Linked DNA regions of Diceros bicornis minor. The protein of the gene in region 3 interacts with the protein of the main gene of each other region in a biochemical or structural test. Links are inferred from orthologs where the notes say so. Each region holds a gene or a part of one and is shown on either strand. Other genes may lie near its edges.

Region 1 (3,748 bases), on a different chromosome or scaffold from region 3:
GAACCTCCCAAACGTTCTCCCTTTGGGGTACCTTCTCTCTCTCCCAGAGGAATTGGGATGCTCTCTTGAGGTTACAAGTGCAACCACCATTGAATCCACCAAACAAAAAAATTTCATGATTCAATTTGGTCCCCACTTCCCAAATGAAAGTCAAGATTTCAGATAGCAAGAACCAACCTCTACCATAAACAAGATCAAAACCCCACAGGATGTGATTTTTCTTTAAAGTCATCCACTGCCATAACAGTTTCTATATTTGAGATATGAGGTTCAGGAGCATAAAGCCTGAGCTGATGCAATCTTTCTCCCTTAGGTTTCAAAAGGCAGCAGGTGAGTTTCCATTGGCACTTCCATTTTCTCCCTGGCTTGGTTATGGTGTCAGATCAACATTCCAGACCTCCTTCTGGACGGCCCTTGAGCCCGTGAAAAAAAAGTGATTAAAACGTAACTGAGGGACGCCTGTGTCCCCGAGTATCAGTATACGAAGGAGCAAAGGGGGTGGGTGGGCCAGACTCTAGTTTAAAACCAACGACTTTAAAGGCGAACGATGGATGACTTTGTTTTCATAAGCAGCAGCAGCAGCAGCAGAGACCCCGCGCGCGGACTCCGGGGTCCGGGAACAGCCACGCGGCTCCAAGAAGAGGGAGCGAATCTGAAAACCGAAACCGGCCCAGGACACACAGACGACGGCCCGGGGCTCGCTCGTCCCGCCGGCCTGCCGCAGGGGCCACCCAGCCCGGGGCCACCCCCGCCCGGGGACAGCCACCCCCGCAGCTGGGCGGGGGAGGAGGGGAAAGCGTGGGGGAGGGGCGGCAGAGCTGAGGCCCCGCCCCCGCCCCGCCCCGCGCCGATTATAGCCAATGACTCAGGGCGGAGCTCCGCATCCAGTCCGCGCCGCCGCCAACTTCTCTGGATGGGACCAGAAGTTTCTAGCCGGCCAGTTGCTACCTCCCTTTATCTCCTCCTTCCCCTTTGGCAGCGAGGAGGCTATTTCCAGACACTTCCACCCCTCTCGGGCCACGTCACCCCCTCCTTTAATTCATAAAGGTGCCCGGCGCCGGCTTCCCGGACACGTCGGCGGCGCGCACGGCTCTCGCTCCGGCCGCAGCCAGGGAGCCACTCGGCGCCTGGAGACCCGGCACCCCGCGACCCAGCACCCCGCACCCCGCGACCCGGCGCCGCGGCGGCCGCCCCTCCGGGCCGACCCCGACCCAGCATGAGCGCTGCCACCCACTCACCCATGGTGCAGATGGCGTCCGGCAACGGCGCTGGCGACCGCGACCCCCTGCCCCCCGGCTGGGAGATCAAGATCGACCCGCAGACCGGCTGGCCCTTCTTCGTGGACCACAACAGCCGCACCACGACGTGGAACGACCCGCGCGTGCCCCCCGAGGGCCCCAAGGTGAGCCAGGCCCGCGCCGCGCCCCGCCGGCGGCCCCCTCGACGGCGAGGGCGAGGGACCGGGCCGGGCTGCGGGGACGCGAGGCGCCCGCGCCCGGGCCCCGGAGGGCAGTGAGGGCCGCCTGGGACGCGCGGACACCAGCTCCCGGGGAGTCGGCCCGCTGCGCCCTTACCAGCCCCCTTTCCGGGCCCGCCCTTGGCCGGCGTCGGGGCGAGGGGGAGGCCCCGGAGGGCACTGTCCTCCCTGGGCCGCATTTGGTTTCCGGGGGTCGGCCCGGGAAGTGCGACCCGCGCGGTGGCGCCAGGTCCGGTCCACCAGCTCGATTCGAGGGGCCGGGAGGGGCGGGCGGCCTCGGGCAGCGCCGAAGGCCCGGGCCAGGCCCCGCCGCGGCCTCCGCCGCCGCCCGGCTCGCCGGCCTGAGATCCCGGGTTCACTCTGCTGATCGCGCTTCGGCGGCCGCCAGGGGCCCATTCGCAAGCCCGGGTGGTGGGCCCTTAGGAATTTCACGTCCTAAACTTCCTCCACTTGGTTGAGGGGTATCTTGACTTGGCTCTCCAGTCTGAGGAGCAGAGTGACTCAGGAGAGTGATGTAAATACATTGCCTTTTTTTTCCCCCTTTTCTGTGTTTGAAATTAAAATTGTATTATTGTTCGAAACTGTTTTCAATAAGAATATATTCTAGTATGATTTGTTAAAAACAAGATGCTGTTTCCCAGGCAGTTTCTAAACTAAATACGTGAGACTGTCTCATAGTTGGCCATTGCCTTACGACATTGCCTCACACTGGCGAGAAAGAGAATGAGTTTTTTTTTTTAATGGCATGCATTCCCTTCCTTGTTATGGTATGAGAATACCTAGGATTTGTTTCTAATACACCAGTAACTGAGTAGTAATACCTTTGTGAATACAGCGGAAGTATGCCTCATTTACGTATATGCAAGGATATGTATTTTTTAATCCTTAGGAGGATGAAAATTTGAGAATATAAATTTGGAATGAGTGTTAATTTAAAAAATTATAACTAATTGTACTACTCTTGTAATTTACCATAAATTTCAGCTTTTTCAAAATAAAAAGCTTGGCAGGAAGAAATATACTTAAAGAAAGAGTAATGTTATGCTGCCTGGGCGAAATAAAAATAAAAGCTGTAAAGAGCTGGTAAGTTATTTTGAAGATTTAAAAATTCACAAAATTAAAAATGCTGTTTGTCGTTATTTTAGAAGAAAGATACGTATTATCCACCTTCATTTTTATGTGCTTTTTTCTTAAAAATACTGTTAACACTGATGTCCAACAGTGAGACATCATATATTCAGCAACTTACATTTATAAGAAATTAATTGTATATTTATTTCTGAAAATTAGTACAAGAGGCTGTAATTAGCTGGGCGGGGCGTGATTATACCTTCTTTTTTGTGTGTCTGGTCAGCCCATTATTGGGTGAAACTAATGCTCATTTCAAACCTGCCCTGGTACTCTCATCTGCATGGATGTAGATCTTTAGTGTGGTAAAAAACTATTCTTTGGAGGGATCCTTTCTATAGAGACAGGAACAGTCAGAATTTGCTGGCATCCTTGGTTTTGCATTCAGAAGATGGTTTGAACGTATCCACTGTGAGTGCAGTACCAGACCCAGATTTCCAGTACTTTGTTTTCAGTGTGAAACTCCCCAGCAAGTTGAGATCTTCCGGTACCCATCCGGTGGATGGGTGAGGCTGTGGTTTCATTAACCCTAAGGAGGGAAAGACAGGTTGAGTTACTAGTATTGTTCTTAACAAGTAGAAAATAAGACTACTAAACCAGAAGTCTGACGCTGGAAAAGTTGATTTGAAAATCGAACAGTCAGAATTTTAAAGTTGAAAGGTCCTTAAAGATCTTTTAGTTCAGCCTCTTTATTTTACTGAGAAAGAAACCCAGTGAGTTCAAATGTGTTTCCAGAGGTCACTCAGCTAGTACTAAAAGCAGAGGGAGAACTACACCAGGAAGTCCTAATAAGAGGCAGTGTATCTGTTCAGAAGAAGGTAGAAGTGTCTTGAATTTTTATGAAACTGTGAAGCATGTGGGCTGGAATACTTGATTATTTTTTGTGTCCTCCAGACCACCAAGTATTGGGTGGCTGACTTCTATGCTGTGATTACTTGGATGGTGGCTGGTTATGATCAACTCAAGAAAAAGAGTTCTCTTTACCAAATTAACTACTTGAGATTTGTCAGCATGGCACCAAAACATAAGGAGAAAACATTCAGTTCATTAGCTCTTTGTGCTTCATTGCTTGCAACCTGTGCTTTGATACAGAACATGTGGGTGACTAATTCACTTTCACTTATATGGATTACACCTCACTCC
Region 2 (3,748 bases), on a different chromosome or scaffold from region 3:
CTATTTTTTTCCCATATTTTGCTAGTGTGTTCTTCATGTGCTGAAGACTGAATATTCAGTGGTTCACTCATTCAGTAAACAACACCTACTTGTGCTAGATGTCGGAGATGCAAAGTTTAAGCCTCACATCCTTCCCATGAGGAGCAACATGGCAGCATGCTCCTAGCCTCTGATACACAAATGGAACAGCTTTCATATGGGCAAAATGAAAGTAATTTTATCCCCCCCATCATTTCAAGTAGGCTTTCAGTTTTGGACATACCAGTCGTACTTGCTTAAACCTCTCTCACTGCGTCTTTCTCTTTCTCTTCCCCTGCTTGTTTTTTAGGTTATATTAGGGGAAAAACACTGTAAAAGTAGTTGTACCAATTATTTTGGGGGCCCTGGGCCAGTTGTGTAATCCCTCTGAGCCTCAGTTTCCGCTGCTGTAATAACCATCCGCCCTGTCCGTGTGAGTTGTTACGAGGATTATGAGAGAAGTTATATGGGGGATTACCATCAAAATTTTAAATATACAGTTAAAGAATAAATGGACATTATAAAACAATTTTAAAAAGAAACCTTACAAATGTGTGATATAGGTACCACAGCAAAACACTTTGGGTTTCTGAAACCCAAACGTGATGATACACCAGAGTTAAATTCCATGGAAGTTTGCTTCCTTGATGGATTTCTTACTTTTTACTAGCTCCTGAAAAAGAAACTTCCCGGGTTTTCTTTTTCCTCCTACGGTTTTGCAGTGGCAGGGCTGCTTCCTGCCGAGAGCAGCTCTGCCATGGCCCCTCTGTACAGACTCTCCACCTCCTCTTTCTCTGTCTTTCAAACACTTAATACATTTAGAGACTGATCTTGTGCAGAAAATATCCCTGACATTTGAAGAGCTCCAGGGATGCAGTGAGCATGCTCCGTGCCCCTCCCGCTGGGAAGAGGAAGCTCGTTTACATAGGAGTCATACCAAGCATAGCCAGCATGTCAGCGCAGTTAACTTGCAGCGGGCTGTGAGGAAAGCGAGCGTGGCTTTGTCCTAGGAAATGTGCTTCGTGTTTTTCTTTTTTACTCCTTTTATATTTTGAAGAAAGACTTGTAAAGACTTCTGAAACAATTTTTAAATGCTCAATTGAGGATACAAAACGTATACCGTCTACAAATAAACCCTTGAAGGGTTTTGTGCGAGTTCGATTTTTGTGCGTGTGTTCTTTTTTTTACTTTTACATACTTTGTTTTGATCATCTGAGGCCGGGCCTCCGTCTTTGTGAAGTTTGAGAAAAGAGCCAGGAGCTTCTCAGCAGTAATTGATTTTTGAAACGTACTCTTCTGGGGCGAACGCAAAGAGCTGGTTTTCTGTGCTAGCCCAATAAATGCTATTTATGAAGATGGACCTGTTGAACTACCAGTACTTGGACAAGATGAACAACAATATCGGCATTCTGTGCTATGAAGGTAGAGGTTCCGTTCTAGAAATTGCTATTCTATTGCTTTTATGAAGGCCACTCTTTCTTTAGGGTTCTGAATGCCTTCTGTGCATTTTGTTCTTTCTTGGGACTTTAGGGTGCTTTGGAAGGCGAGCGGTTATTATGTACTGTTTTCAATACAAAGTTGGTTGTTTGGATCGGAGCCTTCAGGGTTATGGTGGAGAGGGCTGGGGGGTGGGGAGGCGGAGAAATAGAAACTTAAAAGTTTGCTTTAGGCTTGCAACATACTAACTCTTCAAATTTTTAACTCTTTAAAATGTATTTTTTTTTAAATTTCTGTTGGTGTTCTCATTAGAGGAAGAACTTCTAGGACCCAAGTAAAAGTTGTGTGTCGTTTTTTTGTTTTTGCTTTGATACTTGTTTTAAACATACACCATCTACATATTCGTGTTGTATTCCAACAGTGCTTTGGATTTCCTGCAGAGGGGAACATCAAGTTATAATGAATTTTTGCTTTGGGGAGTGATTGTCCCAAACAATGAAGAATTTTTCTGTTCAGTTTGGAGGACTGGAAGGGCATCTGTGTCACGGAGCACAGACTGCCTCTTTGTCTGATTTCCCATTTCCTGTACAGCTCTGAGAGAGTTCTCACGTTGAGGGATGTTCCCTCCACACTCTGGTCCCTTGTGGAAGTGATAGCACAACACACCAACCAGAAAGCTAGATTAAAGAAAAAAAAAAAAGCTCTGAATTCTTATTGTTTGTTACCTCCTACTAAACCATGAGGTGTTTCCCCACTGCCTTGTAGTATTTCAAGCTGTCTCTGTTAGTAGTAAGAAGAGAAAAAGCGATTTCTTAATCTGTTGGAACATTATCTACGTGCGATTTGAAAAAGTGGTAATGGCCTGGGTTTAAGTGGCGGGAGAGGCATCTCTAGGGGAATTCAGCTTGGCAGGAGGAGTGTTTTTTGTTGTAACCACATACAAATCGAGGCGACATCTCCTTTCTGATTCAGCAGGAGCAGTTTCCATGTTTTCTCCTACAGTGAACTGAACAAGAAAACATTGAAGAAACTTGGGAGGGTGAGCTGACCCACTTGTAATTTTCATGTAAAAATTTCAGGCCTGTTGCCTAATCAGTTGAAAACTTACCCTTCAAGGATAAAAAATATCTCATTCACGTGTTTTTTTTTTTTTTAATTTATTTTTTTAACTCTGTGGATACGATCTCATACTTAAGGTTTAAAAAAAAAGGTTTTTTGTTTTTTCTTTACTCTTAGTTCTTCCTCTAATGAGAATTTTGGTGAATTGCTTTCTTTGAATCTGCTGCTTTAAGTATCATCTTACTTCTGAAGTCCCTCATTTAAAAGGCAGACTTTTTCAGAACCTTCTAAGCAGCAAGTGACTGGGCTTGTTGCCTGTGAAATTAACATATTGCAGTTAGTTTTTTAGCCTTTTTTTTTCAGTGAACAAGAAATTAAAAACTCTTAAGGCAATTTCTGTTGACTTGTCTTTGTCATCGAGTAATATGATATTTTCAAAAACAAAACAAAACGATCAGCCTAAGAGAGGAATATAGGGCTTGCTAGGAAATTGATACCACATTAATTTTTTATGTCGCCAGTTGGTGGTGGTGAGGAAAAGCTTATGGAAACCTTGCCCAGGTTGATTTTTTGTTGTGTAGTATGTAACACACATGAGACTAGTCTTCTGGCTTCCTTCCTTATTTGGGAGGAAGAAACTTTGATTTTGAAAGTTGAGTAGATATGTGGGATGATTTGCCATAGTCTGTTTGGTTTAAACATCTGCTGCTATTTTCCTTATTATGAAAGTTAACATTACTTTAACACCAAAATAAATACACAGGAAATGAAGAAAAGCACAGCAAAATTTGAGTGGTGTTTATAGTGGATTGTTTATGTCCCAGTGGTTTTCTCAGTGTAAACACTGCACACATCTGCTCTGAACTCAAAAGGGTGTTTTGAAGATGGGCATAAATCTTAGACGGGACTTTTTTTTTTTTTGTACGAAAAGTTGGAACAATTATTATTCCTTTAAATCCAGCACTTTGAGAATATTCATATTAAACATAGCAGTGCACTGGCATTCCTGGGAAGGTATTTGGAAAATGGAATGTACAGTTGGTGAGCAGCATTTAATTCCACTTAGGGCACAGGCAAGTTTCACGTCTCTTCATAATAAGGGACACATTAATTTTCTCAATTTTTAGTTTTAAAAATTAAGATGTTGATGGTTAGTTATTCTCTAGGTTAGTTATACCGTATTCCTTAGTTTTATTGACACAGCTCTACTCTGCAAAATAAACCATGTTCTGCA
Region 3 (3,748 bases):
TCTGCCCCGGCACTGGGCGTGCGCTTCCTCACGGTGCCGCTAGATGGGGGGCCGCGCGCCCTAGAGGCGCAGCCCAGCGGTCGTCAGGCTCACTCAGCGCTGCAGACACCACGCCCTGCAAATTATTAGGGACTTTTCGATAGCAATCATACTGCTGCCTTTTGCATACTGGAATTAGGACCGCAGTGGTGAGAACAGGATAGCAAAACTGCGCCCACCCTTTTGGAAGGGCGTCTCGTGGCAGGAGCTGGAAGGGCAGCCTCTTGGGAGCAGAGCAAAGCTGCCCGGTGGTCCCCTCGCCAACCAGGGGCCCAAAGAGCCACTCCAAGTGGCCTCTGCGCCCGGAGTGTCCGCGAGGTGGTGTGGGGGCCCTGCGGCTGCCCTGTTTTCGTGAAATGGCGGTGAGGGTGGTGGCGATTTGTCTCTGCCTCGTGCTAAATCCTGGGAGTGTTCCAGTCGTGACATTACATGAGAGGAACCTAGGGTGCAGGTCCTGCCAGGGTGCAGAACCATCTGCCTTTTCTGAGCAGGCTTCTCTTTCCCCGGTGGGCACTTGGAGCCGAACCTGAGGCCTGCCTGCAGCACGGACGTGCATCTTTATGGTCTGCGTTTGGGTAATGGCCTCAACGGTGTGATGAACGTCCTTATATTAGGTTGAAACAATAAATTGCGAACATTCCACCATATTTTATCTATCCCTCCCCCAAAAAAACCCAATTTAAAATGATTCATCAAATAACGACATGTTTGCATATGTCCATAATTAGATTACTAAATTCATGTAGTGGAGGGGGTGAAGTTTCCAAAATACTAAAGCTTTAAAAATACCCATTTCTATACGGCCCTGTAGAGTTGTACACAAATGAATATTCCCTGTCCTTTTAGTGTTTACTGCCAGAGTACACGGCCAATGTACAAGTCAGAGGTTAATCCGCGGATTTTGCAGCTGAACAGAACAGAGGGACACTGAAAGCTGAGTTGAGCCGGGAACCCACCAATCTTAATCGCTGCGCCTACGCCGCATGGAGAGAGCAGAGTACCCAAACCTGGAGGAAACTTCGCGCTAGAGGGGCCCGAGGGCCCTGTCGTCTCCTGGGCAGGAGCAGTGAATTTGATCACCTACGGTTTACGGCTAGGGAAACTGAGGCGGGCCGCCACGGGGACTCCTCGCGCCGGTTCCGGGGAGGACCAGCAGCGGCCAACTCTCTCCCTGCGCGCTCTTCGCGCCGCCCGCTGCCCGCCCTCCCCGCCCGCCGGCCGCAGGATTGAGGAAGTGCGTCTGGGCCCGGCCCGGCCCCGGCGCGCGCTGCCCGAGGCGCGGGGCGCGGAGGGCAGTGGGACCGCCAGGCCCCGGCCCGCTGGTGTCCTCCTGGCCAGGCCCGCGCGGCCAGCCCCGCATCCCGGGGCGCCCGCTGGCCCTGCCCCGCCGCCGCCGCAGGTAAGCTGCCCCGGCCCGCGCCCCGTCCGGGGGCCTGGCCGCCTCCTGCAGCGGGTCCGCGTGGAGCCCTGGGCCCCGAAGCCCAGGCCCGCGCTCCGGGCGGCTGCGTGCTCCGGCAAGTCCGCGGGATGGGGGGTGTGCGGGGCCCGGGGGGGGAACCCCGAAACCGCGCGCAGGATGGTGCCGGGGCGGGGGGAGCAGAGGCAAGAAACAGAAGTAGGAAAATACACCAGGGCGTCTAAATGTTTCCTCCGCGTTTGGAGAAAACTCCTTCCTTCGATTTGGAGCGGGCTGTGTGGACGCGCGTGTTTGAGTGAGTGAGTGTGCGTGTGTGAGTGTGAGTGCGTGTGTGCTGAGAAGGGACTGTCCAAGAGTCTCTCTCTGCCCGGGGGCGGCCTGGTGATGCGGGATGGCCGAGCGCGCCTTCACCCTCCTCAAAGTCTGGGGTGTGCTTCTTGCCCAAGGGTCGCGTCTCTGGCCGGGTCCGATAAGGACCGCCATCTCTACAGCGGTCTCTGCGGGCGACCTTCCCTGTCGGCGGCGCGGGAGATGAGTGCGGTCGGGGCGGGGGGAAGGAGGGGAACCTGAGAAGGCTGGGGGTCGGAGGGCGATGGTGATGGAGAATTTGGGGACCTTGGGATCAGAGGGCGCTGGTGACAGAGCATTTGGGGACCTCTGCAGCCAGCTCAACCTGCCTCTTCGCGCTTTGGAGCCAGGAAGTTTTTCTGCCACAAACACATCCCCCTGCAGGGGTCGGAGAGGTGGAAAAACAGGATCATGGAGTTATGTTCTTAGCGATCCTCTTCCCAAATACGCGACTTGCAGAGTTTGCCATTCACTCGCTCTGCTTCAAAGTTCCGCGGACATTAAAGGGACGACTAGAATATGCACAATTTTGGAAAACGTTAACATTCAATGCCTTTTGTGATTTGACTTAACTATCTTTGCTTGTGTCCTGGAAGAATAAAAATTAAGTTAAAAACATAACGAACCTCAGACCTAATTTGTCCCTAAAGGAGGTTTTGGGGTCTGCCAAACCTTTCCCTTCCCCAGGCTTCCACATTTGAGGAAGTGGCTTCATAGTCAACTCTTGCTCAGATCAAAAACCTAGGAGTTATCCTCCATCCCATTCCCTCATCCCTTGAATTAAGTCTGTTAGCAACATGTGTGCGGGTCATCCCCTTGTTTCTCACAGCCCCACCCTAGTTCAAGTTACCAGCATCTGTCTCTTATGGTTACAGTCCTCTCACATTCTCTGTTTGGCAACCAGAGTGATTGTTTTCTTAAATAGGTAAATCAGAGAGTGTCATTCCTCTGCGTGGAACCCTTCAATAGCTTCTCCTTGTGTTTGCTTGGCATGAAATCCAGGAGGCTTCCTTCCCTTCACACCCCCCAGCTGATCTGGCCTTTGCTGTCTCAGACCACCTGACCATTGCCCCCCAGCCACCCTGGCCCATCTCCCTCTCCAGCTTGCGGCCTCTGCAGTGCTGCCCCCTGACTCTTCACATGGCCAGCCACCCTCTCTACACCCAGCCTCTCTCTCACATCCCTCTCTCTGTGTCCTTCTTGCAGTCTCCACTGTCTGTGTGTTCCTACTTTATCGGTTTAATTTCTGCTTTAATTACCTCGAGGTCTCCACTGGAGCTTCAGGGGTCAGAGACTGTTCCTATGTGCCTACCTTGCTCGCTGCTGCATCTTGACTCCCGGAACCATCCAGGAGACGCCCAGTGCATCCTGGTACAGTGACTGAATGGCAAATGGACAGCCTTAACTTGTTTGTGGTTTCAGACTCATGAAGGGCTTCTGTTCCCAAACCCTTGGAGAATTTGGGGACCTCTGGGGGTCAGAGGGAGATGGTGATGAAGAATTTGGGGACTTTTGAGGGTCAGAGGGAGATGGCGATGAAGAATTTGGGGACTTTTCGGGGTCAGAGGGCCATGATGATGGACAGTTTAGGGACTTCTGGGGGTCAGAGGGAGATGGTGATGGAGAATTTGGGGACCTCTTGGGTGCTTATCTGGGATTGAGAACTACACATTTCTCCAGTCTGCAGCATTGTGATGTTTTGATGTCCACAAATCCATTAAACACGTTTTGTAGGCAAGCCAGTATTGGTCAAGAGATGCTAATAGTGCCAAAAGCATGTCTAGGACTATGAGCCAACCATTTCAACCAGCCTTTGATTCAAAAAAGTGCTGGATGATATGAACATTGCTGACATGCTTCACTTGCAAGTGGCTTCCAGCTCTTGGTGCTGGCAGTCCTTTCCAAGCTTCCTGAGAAGACAGGTGAGCAGGTTCAGGGTCTCCT

The links. The genes of interacting proteins can lie anywhere in the genome.
Region 1: the proteins of LRRK1 (region 3) and BAG3 form a complex in vitro, tested with the Homo sapiens proteins (2 studies listed by BioGRID and IntAct, with this or other methods). The link is inferred for Diceros bicornis minor from reciprocal best matches to the Homo sapiens genes LRRK1 and BAG3.
Region 2: the proteins of LRRK1 (region 3) and VGLL4 form a complex in vitro, tested with the Homo sapiens proteins (2 studies listed by BioGRID and IntAct, with this or other methods). The link is inferred for Diceros bicornis minor from reciprocal best matches to the Homo sapiens genes LRRK1 and VGLL4.

What each region holds. Positions count from the first base shown.
Region 1 is NC_080745.1:82,423,070-82,426,817, forward strand, and holds the start of BAG3 (BAG family molecular chaperone regulator 3), read left to right. Parts: upstream 1-910; 5' UTR 911-1,216; coding exon 1,217-1,402; intron 1,403-3,748. UniProt on the Homo sapiens protein: Co-chaperone and adapter protein that connects different classes of molecular chaperones including heat shock proteins 70 (HSP70s), e.g. HSPA1A/HSP70 or HSPA8/HSC70, and small heat shock proteins (sHSPs), e.g. HSPB8.
Region 2 is NC_080741.1:84,305,512-84,309,259, reverse strand, and holds the start of VGLL4 (transcription cofactor vestigial-like protein 4), read left to right. Parts: upstream 1-907; 5' UTR 908-1,358; coding exon 1,359-1,440; intron 1,441-3,748. UniProt on the Homo sapiens protein: May act as a specific coactivator for the mammalian TEFs.
Region 3 is NC_080744.1:80,700,550-80,704,297, reverse strand, and holds the start of LRRK1 (leucine-rich repeat serine/threonine-protein kinase 1), read left to right. Parts: upstream 1-1,375; 5' UTR 1,376-1,438; intron 1,439-3,748.